Cricetulus griseus: one gene and its partners. The protein of the gene in region 1 interacts with the protein of each later gene in a pairwise test. Links are inferred from orthologs where the notes say so. Each region holds a gene or a part of one and is shown on either strand. Other genes may lie near its edges.

Region 1 (2,416 bases):
TTTACAACTGGACGACATTCTGCCAGAGATATGTGCCCTAGAAATCAGAGGTAAGAGGTTACTGTTGAGTTTCCTTTTAGACCAAAACCTACCCAAAGGCCATTATTTTCAACCCTCATATTTGTCTGAAGTCATTATGCTTCTAAATTGCTTAACCATTACCCTGAGTCAGATAAAAGCATATGGTACAGCATCACCTGGCAAGCATTTGAGGGTCCCCATTTTTGGGTTAGCATAATGTAATGAAAGATGAATAAATGCACTGGATTCTTAATTCTGAATTAGTCTCATTTATTATAATATGGATTATATCAGGTACGTAGTGCTCCTACTTGAGAAATATTAACTACAGTATGGGCAGAGGTTTTACATCAAGGAAAGATAAAAGCAATTCACAATGTGAAAGGAAGTTTGCATTAACTCAGATACAGTGCAAACAAGAAAAAGCAGTTAATACTCAGAGAGGAAGAAGAGTCCAGAGTGTTGAGATTTTAATCCTGGATCCGCACCATTGTGGTTCACCAGGAGACTACTCCCTCACTGAGCAGAACATGATGGACGACAAGTGCCAAACACACGGGTCACTGGTTGGCAACTACCAGAGGCAGGCTGCAGAGGTCTGAAGCTGTTTGACACAATGTGAATGGCTTGAGGGCCATAAGACATACAACCCGAAGGCCTGCATCCATAAGGGACAATGCCCAGGGGTCGGCAGCTGTTGGATACACAAGGAAGTGGGCGATAGCTACCAGACACACAGCCCACAGAATGGCAGTTGTTGAAGAAAGGGCTCACTGGCCGGTAGCTGCTCGACACATAGCTCACAGGTCGGCAGGATGCTGGGAGGCAGACACCAGAGATGATGGATGAAGCAGGAAGATAGCCAGAGCCCTGGCAGGGCCTGGGCACATAGTATGCAGAAGAGCAACAAGAGTTCTCATAGCTGCTGGCTTCATGGCTGCCTGGCTGGCCACTGGAAGGTTCTCCAAAGGTCTCGGGGCAGTTGTCCATGACCCAGGTATGATCTTGACAGTTGCTGGGTATGCAGAAGACCTCTCCACAGCCCATGTTTGTAGAACAGAGGGCAATAGAAGGGTTGGCTTGGATATGGCAGGAATTTCTCAGTGATCCCGAGCTGCAGTTTGCAGAGCAGTTGTTACGGCTGGCCATGGTGAGAGTTAGAGAGCGGTGGTGGTCTAAGAGAAGATGTGAGCAGCTCGGTGTGACTCTGACACCCACTGGCCTTGTCTCTTTATATATGCTCAGAGAGTGGCAGTTCTGTATACAGAGTCATCTTCCTTGTTGTTTTAGGCTGCATCTGAACTCTATTATGTCCAGGAAGTAGGGCTCTTGCCTCTCATAAAAACTGGATGATCCCTGCAATGCCTTCCATCGATTGAGTGTAACTATAAATCAGTGTGACCGGATTTTAATAGGATCCTTGGTAAAGTTACACCAACCCAAGCAGACACTTTGGAAGGCTATGAACTCGCTCTAGTTGTAACCGCCAATGCACAAACATTTGTCTTAGTATTGTCTCCTGGAATTGCCTCTGTAAGTTGAAGCAAACTACTTTGAATAATGGCAAGTTATATGTAACTCACTGAAATGTAATTCTATTCTTTTTGTACATTAGCAATAGAAAATTTTAGGAAGGAAAAGATTTACAGAAGAAACTAAAATTTTTCAACTTTTATGATCCAAAGAATCGAAATGACATAAGGTGAAAGACTCGGGTGTTTTCCTTTGTTTCAACATCTGAACATAAAATGGTTTCCCATGAAAACATGTTCATTTGGGAAATGAGTGTTTGCTTCATTAATTTCTATAAATGAATAAACAGTCATTTGAGATCATGTTTTGTCTGTGATACTTCTGAATATAGGTAATGAGGTCGAGTTCAGTTAAAATGATGGATTCCAGTTTGAGCAAGGGCAAATACATAGAATTCTGTAAAGAAGGTTGGACAAAATGGCATTTATCACGAATTCAACAGACTGTATATGTTTCAGTGTTATTCATATTACCACCAAAAATATCTTTCTGGATAAAAAGAAAAGAGTTTATTATGATGACCATGACAGTATTGTGTTTATTTCAAATATTACATCTGATCTCAACTTCCATAAAGGACTGCATGCATTGGTTGGCATAAATAATATTAGAGTAAATGCAAAGTTTTCTTAGGTTTGAGTACTTTGAAGACGATGCAGAAACTTGTATGTCTCTACAAACTTGTTTTAAATGCATGAAAACAGTCAGATTCCACTATCCCTCTGCATTTTTCACCCACTGGTGTGTCCAGTAGCTCCAGTGGCTACTTTAATGGGAATTTAAATTATCTGTTGAATCTCAATTCCATACCCTTTGGCTAAAAATTCAATTTAAATCACAGCACTTTCTTCTATTTTAATGT
Region 2 (4,330 bases), on another chromosome or scaffold:
AGATGCCACTTAGACGATCGCTCATTACCATAGGCAATGTGTCCTGGAAAGAAGCAATGACATATACCAGAGGATCTGTGCCAGACCTCTTCTGGCCAATCCAAGGTAACCCTTCAAAAGGCCAGGATGCCAGCTGGGGCGTGAGACACTCACCAGAATAGGGTTGCAGCAGCTGTAGCTGGCTCCTCCGGGGTCCAGGCAGCAGACAATAGGGCACGACTGACCATCTGGACACTGTGTTCCAGCCACCAGGCCTGCCATGAAGGCCAGCCAGCTTACCAGGGTCCACATGGTCTGCCTGCAAATGCCAAGGAAAGTTTGGCAGCCATCTTAAGCTTATGCCACCTTCTATTCTGAGTCCATGCAGTTCCCCATGCCCTGGCCAAGGCATGACATGCCTTGGATTTATTGAAACTTCTCAACAAGTGAGCAGGAAGGCAAGCAGCTGCCTGAGTCAGCATCCTACACTGTAAGCATCACACTTGCACCAGCTTGCACACACGGTGAGCACGAATGCTGGCATGAACACAAGTGTCCATCATGTCATCACACTTGGCCTAACACCTGACACTATAGGCGACTGGAGAGGCGCGGAGTTATGACAGTCAGGAAGCCATGTGGCTTTGATTTATGGGACTGTGGGCTAACTGGGAGGAGACTTCAGCGGCCACAAGAGGACAGCCAGCCTCACCTCGCTGCCTGGCACTGAACTCCCACATGTACTTTTCAAAGGCCTTGGGGAAACAGAGTTGTCAATCACATGATCATATGGGAAACCAGGGGTTGAGAAAGTTGTGAAAACGGAAGTGCAGTGGCCAGGGGAGTCTGGGCTGCCTTTCCCACAGGCCAGCCACTGCCTGCCCACAACTGTCCCCTCCCCACCCAGGGGAAGGGCACATGGTGGCTGGATTAGCCTTGAAGCTAATTTCATAACCAGCCCTCCTCAGCATCACCAGGACTCCTTTGGACTCCTCAAACATACCACCTGTTTCTCCCTACTCAGAAATCGAAACTCAGCTGCAAGAGCAAAGTTAAGTGTACTTCTTCACTGGCCCTCTGCCTTAGCAGGAGGAACCGAGTCTCTCACTTCCCTAATAAGTCTTTCCCCAGCACAGCTGGCCTACCCAGCAACCCAGAGTGACACTCCCCTGCCTGGGGCAGCAAAAACAGCAATATTCAAAGACCCTCCAGGGAGCCACTTTGCCCTTCCTTACTGTATTTCTCTGCACAACTATGCAAAGCAGTGATCAGATTACTTTCACTTTTCAAATCCATGCCCAGGTATCAAGTCAGAGAAAACAGACTGCAGATATTGGACCTGGATTCTTATGTCAACTGACATCCCTGAACATTGCCAGGGAATGGACCCCAAATCCCAGAGGCCAGAGGTCCAAGCAGAGGGAAGCGGGCAGAACATTTCCCAGGCAGGTGACCTACACAGGATAGAAATAGGGTGGGTACAGCCAGACGGTGGTGGCACACGCCTTTAATCCTAGCATCCAGAAGCAGAGGCAGGTGGATCTCTGTGAGTTCAAGGCCAGTCTGGTCTACATAGCAAGTTCCAGGACAGCCAGGGACAAAAAGATCCTGCTCAAAAACAAAAGCAAAACAAAAAAATCTACAAAAGAAAGGGTGGGTACAGGGACGGTGTAAAATCTGCCACTGATCAATTGCTGAGGGCCTCAGAAATTGTTTCCTGTGCCTCAAACTCTGAATACTGGTGGCCATGGAAGGCAAAATCCCAACATCCAGACCTCAAAGCTTCCGATAGGCATGACAAACATGCTTTTGATCCCTGCACTTGGGAGGCTAAGGTGGGAGGATTACAAATTCCAGGCTACAGGGTGACTATGAGGTCAGCCTGGGCTACATAGAGGATCTGTCCCTCATTGTGCCCCCTCCCCTTCCTTCTCTAGGTTTTCAAGCACCCTCTCAAAGAATATCCCAGAGGTCATCTCCTGGCCAGATTAGAATGGGGTAGGGGAGACCTAATCCCTTTCATTAGGGTTAGGGAGTGGTGACCTCTGGCCACCTCTACACCACTCTGTTGAAATAGCCTGAGAGGACTGGAGGAGCCTTTCAAGGCCCTAGCTTCGAGATCTTCCACTAGGTGGCACCCCCGACTCCGGAGTGTCAAGGGGAGATGAATTTCCCAAAAGGTGAGCCAATCCAGCAGAGGAGCAGGGAAAAGTGGCGGGGAGAGGCGGAAGTTAGCTCTCTCGCCCCCCATAAAGGAAGTACGGCTGACACAACCCAGGGATTCTGCCACCACGCCCAACTCCTGCTCCCAACTCCTCTGAGCTCTGGGACCAAGGGCGGGAGATCCCCACCCACTGCAAGTCGCCGCGAAGACTACTGGCGGCACCAGAATGAGAAAGTGCCGGGACCTGGAGACAAGAGGTGGGAGGCACCGAGAGAGATGAAGCTGGCCCAAGAGTGGGGCGCTTCCTGCTCTGGAGAAAGCCCTGCAGCTTTCCGACATGCTGGGCAGGGGAGCCTCTTGTTGGGGGTGTCTACAGCAACTGTTCCCACTCCTCCCAAATGACAAACCCTCGTTAGTGCATCTGAAACCCCGAGGGGAGTTTCAAGAGGCAGGACTTCTCTCGTCTCTGAGCTGAGGCTCCGGGGCAGCCTCAGTTGCACAGCAAGCCTGGCCAGGCCTCTGGACAGCAGCCAGGGAGATGTCTGCTGCGGGTCCTCCTACCTGCTTCGGGGTCCGCACTCCCTGGGAGGCATCTGGCTGTCAGCTCTCGGACTAGGGCTTGGCTGCCCGATGGCCCGCCCACCTCAGTTTCCATTAGCCCTGGGTCGGGAATCCGGGGCTTCCATTGGCTACTTGTCTACATAGAGGCGGGACTCTCCAGGAATGCTGTGTTTCTTTTCTACTCAATCCACACTCCTCCTCCCTTTCCTCTCTCTCCCCACACCCCATGTCTAGGAATCATGTGACCAGGCAATCATATGACACCATAGCCCGCCTCCCCCAGGGCCTCGCTTGCTTGTTCGGTTGCTTTCCTCCCACCCCCCAGGGCCCTGGCGGCGCCTGGCGAGGTGTTCTAGAGATGGGGCTTGCGTACCTAAGGCCACCGACAGTTAAGAAGGCGCCTGCGGGGCGCGCGTTCAAGGTCGTTTACAGCATAGCGTCGGCTTCTGGATCGGGACATTTGTACATTCACTGTTTTCACGCTAGGCAGCCAGGACTCCAAACAAGCTGAAAGATAGTTGGGAGGGTAAAGATAAACAGTCCCCAGATTTGGGTGGGATACTAAATCTAATAAATGTTCAAGGGCGAGTACCAGGCAGGAGATTGGCTGAAGGTAGGGGAAGAATAGATGTAAATCCACTTTGAGCTAGCCAGGAGATGGTATCACGCTGAACTGAATCTAGAGGAATTTTAAGGGGCTGGTTAGGCGGGACAGAGGCACTCCGGAAGAGGTTAGGAAAGCAGATGGGGAGTACAGTGTCTAGCAAGAGTTAAAAGCCACATTCAAAGTAAGGGCATTGGGCATGAGCTAAGTATGTGGCATGGGCTGGTGAAGCAGGCTGGTGGCTGTGGAGGTGCAAGAGGCCTCCTAGTTTCAGCTACCCCTACCTTCGAGGAATTGTCATGGTCCATGAATAGAGATTTTTAGCAGTAGAACAGATTAGCCAGAAACAAAAGCCAGGCTGCTGAGTGCCAAAGGGCCTGGGCCAGACAGAAATGGCTGATTGGAGACCTGCCAGGAAGAGGACAGGCCCCAGGAAAGCCCAAGGCTGGGCCTTGTAGGAAAGGCAGAGTTGGTGTGGAAGATAGGTCCCCTGGGAGGAGCAAAGAGCTTGACTGGTAGGCCACTCAGGGGAATGGGGACAGCCCTACGAATAAATCCAGGACAGTAAGAGTCTTGCATAGAGAGGAGCCTGGTGGGCTTCTTGGGCTAGAGCTACAGGAATCCCAGAAAGTGGAGGCCAACGTGGAGTATCTAGGGTAATTCTGCAATTCTGTAATTGCTTAACACAGCCCCAGTATCCTTGCAGCTCTCTGAGTCAGGGTCTCCTGTGTTCCAGATCAGCCTCCAACTTGATATGTATCTGAGTATGACCCAGAACTTCTTGTTTCCCTGCCCCTGCTGCCTCCCAAGCTCTGAGATTGCAAGTGCAGGCAACTGTGCTGTTTCTGTGGTTCTGGGGTTAAGCCTAGGGCCTGTGTCAGCTAGGCAAATGCTATCAACTGAGCTCCATCCCAGCCCCAGGACTGCCTTATAAGAAAAAAAGAATTGTTGGGGGCTGGGGCTGGTAAACTCAGCAGGTAAAGGCACTTACCAACAAAGCTGACAACCTGAGTTTGATCCCT
Region 3 (3,565 bases), on another chromosome or scaffold:
ATATGCAAGTGCACAAATGTGTGTGTGTGCGTGCAAGAACACACACACACACACACACACACACACACACACACACACACCTACACATAAAACCCTGAAAATCTGGGGCTGGAAAGATGGCTCAGTGGTGGATAAGAGAGTGTTTGCTCTTGCAAATGACTCCAGTTCAGTTCTTCATTGGGTCCCCCCAACGAAGAACTTTGGCTCCTAGCATCCACATTAGGTGACTCACAATAACTCCAGTTCCAAGGAGATACAATCCTCTGGCCTTCATGGACACCTGCATTCATGTACACATAAACACACACACACACACACACACACACACACACACACACACACACACACACAAAATCTTTTTTTTTTTTTAAAGCAAAACCCTTTGAATTCACAGGTGGGGACAGTGGTGCCAGGTTTTCTTATCTCAGAGAAATTTGGCACCGAATCAGCAGAACTCCAAGCTTCCCTAGGCAAGGTGACCCACCCCACCTACCCTGTGGCTGACAGTGAGCCCAGGAAAAGGGAGGAGGGGTGAATAGGATTTCAGGCCATCACAGGAACTTTTCTTTCCTTGAGCCCTGGAACATATGGCAGGTGTTCTGAAAACTCCATTTCTGCCTTCCCAGGCTGGCTGGGGCCCATCAAAATGTGTGTGTGTGGTGGGGGCGGGGGTCTGCCTCTCCATCTGGAAGGCTCTCTTCCTCCACCATGGCGACAGAAGCACAATGGTGTCTCCAGTGTGAGCCTTACATCCTGGCTCCCCAGACAGATGCTGGGGGAGAGCTCCATAGCCCCAAGGAAATATAAGTCTCCTGCCCCCAGTAGGCCTCGTTGCAGTCCACAGATCACAGAAGCAACAGGCCAAAGGCCATGGTGTGCCTGAAACACAATGCCTGTGCTGCCCTTCTCTGATGGAAACATCTCCCAGGCCTCATCATCTCTTCCTGAGATGATAAGATGTTACAAAAGGCTGGGCTCTGAACAAAATTGGCTCCCACTGATAACTTGCAAATTCTAGCTGGTCCACATTAAAGACAACTTACAATAGGGTAGAGGTCCTAGGTGAAAATAAGGCAGCGTGTGGGAAACTTGAAAGCCACTCTCCCACCAGGCACGGTGACATATGGCTGTAATCCCAACACTGTGGAGGATCACAAAGTTTGGGGCAACCTGATCTATAAAGGGACTTCCAGTCTCACTGGGATTATACAGCAAGATCCTGTCTCAAAAATCAATCAGCCATCTAGTCAACCAAACAACCAAACAATCAAACAAAATTCTAAAACTGCTGTGTGCATGAGTATGCCTGTGTGTGTCGTTCATGAGTGTGTATGTGTTTAAGCCATGGGGGCTTAGAGAGAGAGAGAGAGAGAGAGAGAGAGAGAGAGAGAGAGAGAGAGAGAGAGAGAGTTTAAGCCATGGGGCTTAGAGCAATTTGCCAAGAACAGACCAAATCCCAGCAATTTGTGGGTGCTATCCTCCTATCGTATAGCTAGGAAATATTTAATAGCACAGAGTAGTAACACAGCATGGAGGTGAACATAAAACCGGATTATAAGTTAAGGGTAAAAATAGTAATATTGGGTACCAAGGAAATGTCCTCAGTGGCAGCTGGCTAGTTTGAGCTCAGGGTTTAAGGGAACATTCTACTTCCCTGCACTATGGGCAGCACAGGAAAGTGGAACCCTGGTTCCTCCGAGAGGTTCCTAAGCTTCATTCATTTTGCTGTTTCTACAAATGCTCTTATGAGGGAAAATCATGTTCCAAGCTCTTTTCCCTCTCTGGAATTCTCTGAGTACAGGATTGCATGTGTATAGACACATGTGTGTACATGTGTTATGAAGGCTAGAGGTTGACATGAGATATTTTCTAGATTGTTTTCCACCTTATCTACTGAAGCAGGATCTCTCACTTGAATCCACAGCTTAGTCTAACTAGTCAGCTTGCCTTGCAGATTCCGTCCCAACCTCCCCAGTGACGGGATGACAGGTGGGTTGCCACATTCACCTGGCATTTATGTAGATACCAGAGACTCAAACCCACAGCAAGCACTTTACCCACTGGGCTATCTCTCCATCACTAGTGGGTGTTAATTCTAAGTATGTGATCCCGTGTGCCGAGTTCACAAATGCAGCAAGAAGCAATGAAGGCAGAGGTCTGTGATGGGACAGAGCTTCACCAGTGTGGCTGCCATCCAGAGAGTGATGAGGAAAGAAACATGAATCCAGAGGGAAAGGAACCTGAGGTCTGACCATTATACTGAATGGAGTGGTTTTAAGTGGCAAGGTGACAAGTAGACCTGTGTGGTCAGGAGCTCATCCAAGCTACAGTACAGTATAGAGGAATCTTCACCAAGAACAGATGGCCAGAGGTTGGCTGTTTTCAGTGAAGCCTCCTTGGAAAGTGTAGATCCTACACAAGGAATGTGCTCAGGCCTGGTGACAACATCATGGATCCAGCTTAGGTCCAAATCAAGCAGTTTCATCTCTAGACACCTCTAAAAACAGTGGAGGTGAGGGCCATATAGAGCCCTCATGGAAAGAGGCAGGAAACATGAGATCAAGGACACAGGCCTGGCATCAAGCAGCTACAGTTTCAAATACTGTCTGTCATACACTAGTTGGGCAACCCAAAATAAGTTCCTAAGCTTCTCTGAGCTTTGATAACACTGAGAACCAAGACTGTCTTCTAAAGTCACCATGTAGACTCTTTAAGATCAAACTGTGAATATCCTTAGTTTCTCTGGTATACTATAGGTGCAAAAAACTATTGGCAGTTACTGAAACAGTTCCCACCCAGCAAAGGAGAACGACAAAGGCCATGGAAGTAGGTAGTGGTTTGGCAACAACTCAGCCGGCTGCAGAAGAAAAAGTTTCTACTTACTGGCCAGCAGGAGGCAGGAGACGGCCACAGTATACAGCTGCTTGGAGGTGGTGATGTTGTACTGGTCCATGAAGTGGTCCAGTAGGTAGATGGCCAGGTGCCGGGCTGAGGGGCACAGATGGCAGTGTCTGCTCAGCAGGGTCAGAATGTCTACAAAGAACCGACGGCTCTTCAGGAGTGGGGAGTGGGCGCGGAAGGTGGGAAGCTTTAGTTCCTGGAGGAAGGTAAACAAAAAAGGTCAAGGACACTGAGACCCAGGTCTGCCCATAGACTGGCAGGGAGGGCAGCCATTTCTCTACATCCTTGCTCATTTGTTTCAAGTCTCAGGTGTGGCACTGTGTTCAAGGCAACAGAACTTGTGTTCTAGATCAGCTCCCACCCCCCTTCCCAAAGCACAGGCCCATTAGGACTTGCATGACGACAGAGAAATCAGGCATTTCCCCAAGAAAGGTGCTTGCAGAAACCTAAAACCACAAAAGAATGTTGGCCCTGGAGGCAGAGACTCACTTCCAAATTATGGTTCTACTGAGAAGCCGAATGAATCACTTCTCTTCCTTTGTTTCTTCTTCGGTAGCTGAGGTTTGATGAAATGTATGCGGACGTCTAGCACACGGGAACCTCTCAGGGTTCTCCGTTAATTCCCTCTGCATAGGACTGTGAGTGACCCGCCCCCTCCCCCTTT
Region 4 (4,346 bases), on another chromosome or scaffold:
TGAAATTAGTTCATCAAAGGAGAGCTCTGTTTAGATCAAGGATTATTATGAGGATTTGGATCCTCAGGCAGAGGTGGGGGAGGGGGAATCCCAAGCCCCTTAGTTACCTTCTAGGCCCCCTGAATCCCCTCCAACCCCAGGAACAACCTTCTAGTCTTTAAGACCCTGCTCTATCTCCCAGGGGCTTTCCATGGTAGTTCCCCCAGACTCCAGGGAGCCTGGGGAAGTAGTAGTCCCAGCCAAGGCCACAGTGCCCAGACCAAGGCCATATGCCTCCCCCTCCCCACCCAGAACAAGAGCCCACAGAGTCTGTGCCAAATGTTCTTTCACAATACCTCTCTCCTGCACAGATCCAGAGGCAGTGAGAGGAACTTCTGCCTGGGAATCGAGACACCTGGACTGTGTCCCCAGAGCTGTCCCCTAACCTTAAGACCTGGAGAAGTTCTCTCCTGGGCCAGAAGGGTCTTGCAGGTTCCTCTGCAGTAATAGAGACTGTGGCCAGGCCTGATCTGAACCCCAGTCCAACCACACACATGGTCACCCCAGCCACATACATGATCACCCCAGCCTCACACATATTCACCCCAGCCTCATACTGGGGGTATATTCACCCCAGTCACAAACTCCAAAGGTATGAGCTGGGAAGGGGCCAGGACCCCTGATGGATGTCTAGAAATCTTTCTCAGGTCTACTTCTGGCTCAATCACTCACTGGCCTTAGGGCCTTGGAGCACCTGTGCTTCCCCCAAGTCTTCAGAAGGCAAGGTGGGTGAGTTCTGAAGGGTCTACAATTCCTGCTTTCACATGGCTGTGGCGTGGGAACCAACATGGTGAGTCCCTAACAGATAAGAATACTTCAGGAACTTGGGGCCCCTGACTCTGGGTAGCAGGTTGTCCCTCCAACCTGGACCACAGGAAGAGATCTTTTGATACTGGGAAGCTTCCCACCTCTGCCCTCAACGCTGGGTCGCTTTTCCTGGCAGGTGGCATGTCCATAATTCAGGAGTCACCGCTAAAAAGAAGTACCTCTTCAGCTTCAAGATCGATCAGTACTTGGATTTTGGATGTCCCCGTGGCCCCCATCTTGCCAATCTCCTGCTTGCAGGCTGTCTACTTCCTTTCTTCTCCCCTCCCTCTTTGCTCTTTCTCTATCTTCTCCCGTCTAATTCTCCTTACGGGGAGCAGAGGTCCTCAACCCGGTCACGACTTAGTTTCCCCTATCGGTCCGCGTCCATAACAATCACAACGGCTTTAATCTCAAGGAGGGATAGCACCGAGCTTTGGATAAGGAACAATTTGTGTGTGCAAGGGCGGGGCTCGGACCTGCACACAATGGGCACTCAATAAGTGCCGGTTTCTCTCTACTATCTTTTGCACGCCCTCTCCTAAATAGTTGAATCTCTGCGGGTGTCCCCTCCACGCCCTCCACTGACCGGGGCCCTGCCTCTCGGCTCCCGGGACCGCTCCCGCCGCGCATCCGGGGCTCTCACCTGCAATCTCGGCTCGCTGGAGACTGGGGCAGTAGAAGCCCCTGTGTTCTCTTTGGTGCAAGCACCCCCAAGTCCTTAGCCTCGGTCGGAGGAAGGTGGCAGCTTCGGTTCGCAGCACCAGACCAGGGGTTCAGTCTGACTGTTCTGACTGCTTGGGACCCCTCACGGTGCGCTGGACCCGGGAGGCGCCAGTACAGTTTCAAGTCCGGAGCAGTCCGGTCCAAGGCAGCTGAAGGTTTGGTTCTTCGGGAGCCGGAGGCCGGTGGGCGTCCCGGCTCCTCTACACTCAGGTTCGGAAGCTGGGACCACCTTGCGCGGACCGGGAACGGAGAGCACACGGGAGAAGATGGGCTGGTATGATAGGGCCGGGCGCGTCCCGCCTTGGAGCTCCGGATTAAGCAGCTGAGGACCACCGGGCTGGTAAAGTCCAGGCGCGGAACGCCGAACTCGGACCAGCAGGGCAGGGCAGGGCAGGGCAGGCTGGGAGCCAGCGGCCAGAGCACGGCAAAAAAGTCTGCCCAGGTCCCGACACGGCTCGCTCTGCAAATCTGGGCGGACCTAGCCCGACGGCGGACTCTGGAGCTCTGCGCCGCCGCTCCACTTCCTCCTCTTATCCGCTCCGCGCTCGCCACTTGCTCAACCCGGCGCCGCAGCCTCTGCCACCGCCGCTGTCACCCTAGCTGCCCACCCCCACCCGAGCTGCAGACCGAGCCGAGCCGAGCCGAGCCGAGCCCCGCCGAGACAGCGCCCGAGCGCCCGCGAGCCTGGCCCCGCCCCCAAGGGTGGGGCCAGAAGAGCCCCCGCCCCTAGCCGGGCCTCGGGCAAAGGCGGGGCGTGCAGGACTATGCTAGGCGGGTCCCTGCGCGGTTGGGCAACTGGAGCCAATGGGAGAGTGGAAAGAGGGCGGAACTCTGCTGAGCTTGGTGTGGTGTGGCTGGAGGAGGACAATGAATGCGGTGTGCTGCCGGGGTGCCGGCCGCCTGGGGACCAGGATGGAGGGAGAAGCGTGGGGACATGGGTTGACCGCGACCCTCGAGAGCAAGGCACGGAGGAGACGAGATTGGGACCGGGAAGTATCTGGGTGGCGGAGCCCGGGGCGTGGCGTGATGCTGCCGGCCTCTGGCTCCTCCTAGCTCCTTGCACCGAGCTGCATTTGAGAGCAGTGAAAGGTTCAGATTTTAGGAAACGTTGCAAAAGAAGTTTTTAGAAATAAAGAGCAGATCTGTTTCCCACACTTCCCCTTTCTCAGCGTTCGGCGGCTCAAGGAGGAACGTCGTTTTTAGTTTCAAAATTAAGAGCGAAGATGTGTGAAGACAACTCACCTCGAATCGTGACATCTGTTGGCTGCGCACCCGCTCCCCGTCCCCGGCCCTGACTTTGAGGCCCCAGCGTCTGTGCCAGGCACTGAGCAGGCGTGAAGGGGTTTGATATATGAATGAATGTTGCGAGTGCGCGTGGGCGGGGCATATGTCACTAATTGGCCTAGGGAGCCCTGGGATGAGGCGGCACAGCACAGCTTCATCTGTAAGCCTGTCTTATGCGTGGAGCCCCATGTCACTGCTGCCAGTGAACCATGACTGAGGAGGTCCCGTGATGTACTCCAGATTCCCGTTACTGGTCTAGGATTCTACCCACCATCTCTGTGACATTCTTGGGCTAGACTTGCTTTGAAAGGTGGCTTTAGCCTCCTGTGGCTATGCTCAGTCAGTTCAAGGTCATCCTCAGCTACATAGTGAATTCAAAAACCATTGTGGTCTGCATGAGACCCTGTCTCAAAACATAATAATAATGATAAACTCAGAATGTTGCAGCTTGACAGGGAAAAGAGTGAGGAACCAGATGGGCAGTGGGCTTAGAAGATGGAGGGAATGGCATTCCTGCAGAAGGGACATCTTTGGGGATTTCTTCCTTGAATTTGGTTAGCAGAGGCTTCCCTGAGCAGGTGACAGGCATGCCGAGGTCAAAAGGAGATAGCAAGGTTAATAGGAACATGTGCTCCTGGGGAATGAGTTTCAGACTTAGCCAAAGGACCAAATGTTTCTTTGGCTCCTCCTGAGCCCAGGGCCCAGCCAGATGAGAGCCTGGAGTGAAAGGAAAGCCATGAGAAGTTTTCAGTCCACTGTTGACATGATGGAGTTCTGTAGAAAACAAATGTCTTTAAAACACATATCCCAGGAGATGAGTGGCACAGGGCCTGCCCGAAGACTAAAGATTCCTGATTGAACTTGGTAATAGTGCTAAGATCCTGTATACCTTCCCTTTTTGCCAGGAACTTTCTTCAGCTTTGAGTTGGCAATACCATCAAGTCCTGAGCTCCTATCCTGTTATTGTAGCCCCCTGTTTTGACCTGTGCCACCCAGCCTTGTCTTTCCACCTCTTTTCTCTGCCTCTACATCACACCTCTCTCAGATTAAAGAATAAGTGAAGGGTATTGTCTCCACACAGCTCCTCCCAGAGGCTGCTCTTATGGCCCTCCTGCGCTGTCATGTACCCCACCTTGAGTTTATCCCTGCTTCCTATGGGACTGAAGGTGAGAGTTTGAGACCCAGTGCTCACTAGTTTTCTTTCTTTTTTTTTTTGCCTTTTTTTTTAAATTTGAAATACAAACAAGATTGAATTCCAGATCCCTTCTCCCTCACTAGTTTTCTTTACTACTGTGTCTCAGAGCCTAGGCTGGCACCCAATAATTGACTAACAAATGTCACCCTCTCTGAGATGCCTTCTTGAACTCCGAGGCAGCCTTTGGTCTGGTTCACTTGCCTGGAAGATTCTTTAGGCATGTCCATTGCCTCGTTTCCCCCCACCCTTCATGGTTGGGAGCTACTCTGTGTATGTATGTCCCGCCCACCATGGCGCC

The links.
Region 2: the proteins of keratin-associated protein 26-1 (region 1) and Grn interact in binary tests that used the Homo sapiens proteins (3 or more experiments, as listed by UniProt). The two-hybrid records come from large-scale screens. The link is inferred for Cricetulus griseus from reciprocal best matches to the Homo sapiens genes KRTAP26-1 and GRN.
Region 3: the proteins of keratin-associated protein 26-1 (region 1) and Ccnjl interact in binary tests that used the Homo sapiens proteins (3 or more experiments, as listed by UniProt). The two-hybrid records come from large-scale screens. The link is inferred for Cricetulus griseus from reciprocal best matches to the Homo sapiens genes KRTAP26-1 and CCNJL.
Region 4: the proteins of keratin-associated protein 26-1 (region 1) and glycerophosphodiester phosphodiesterase domain-containing protein 5 interact in a two-hybrid assay, tested with the Homo sapiens proteins (2 studies listed by BioGRID and IntAct). The two-hybrid records come from large-scale screens. The link is inferred for Cricetulus griseus from reciprocal best matches to the Homo sapiens genes KRTAP26-1 and GDPD5.

The regions. Positions count from the first base shown.
Region 1 is NC_048597.1:8,799,571-8,801,986, reverse strand, and holds keratin-associated protein 26-1, read right to left. Parts: upstream 1,171-2,416; coding exon 538-1,170; downstream 1-537. UniProt on the Homo sapiens protein: In the hair cortex, hair keratin intermediate filaments are embedded in an interfilamentous matrix, consisting of hair keratin-associated proteins (KRTAP), which are essential for the formation of a rigid and resistant hair shaft through their extensive disulfide bond cross-linking with abundant cysteine residues of hair keratins.
Region 2 is NC_048600.1:115,672,842-115,677,171, forward strand, and holds the start of Grn (progranulin), read right to left. Parts: upstream 2,810-4,330; 5' UTR 2,737-2,809; coding exon 2,705-2,736; intron 299-2,704; coding exon 154-298; intron 44-153; coding exon 1-43. UniProt on the Homo sapiens protein: Secreted protein that acts as a key regulator of lysosomal function and as a growth factor involved in inflammation, wound healing and cell proliferation. Regulates protein trafficking to lysosomes, and also the activity of lysosomal enzymes.
Region 3 is NC_048600.1:58,232,109-58,235,673, reverse strand, and holds part of Ccnjl (cyclin-J-like protein), read right to left. Parts: intron 3,098-3,565; coding exon 2,884-3,097; intron 1-2,883.
Region 4 is NC_048596.1:100,169,374-100,173,719, forward strand, and holds the start of glycerophosphodiester phosphodiesterase domain-containing protein 5, read right to left. Parts: upstream 2,831-4,346; 5' UTR 2,812-2,830; intron 2,216-2,811; exon of another isoform or gene 1,490-2,215; intron 1-1,489. UniProt on the Homo sapiens protein: Glycerophosphodiester phosphodiesterase that promotes neurite formation and drives spinal motor neuron differentiation.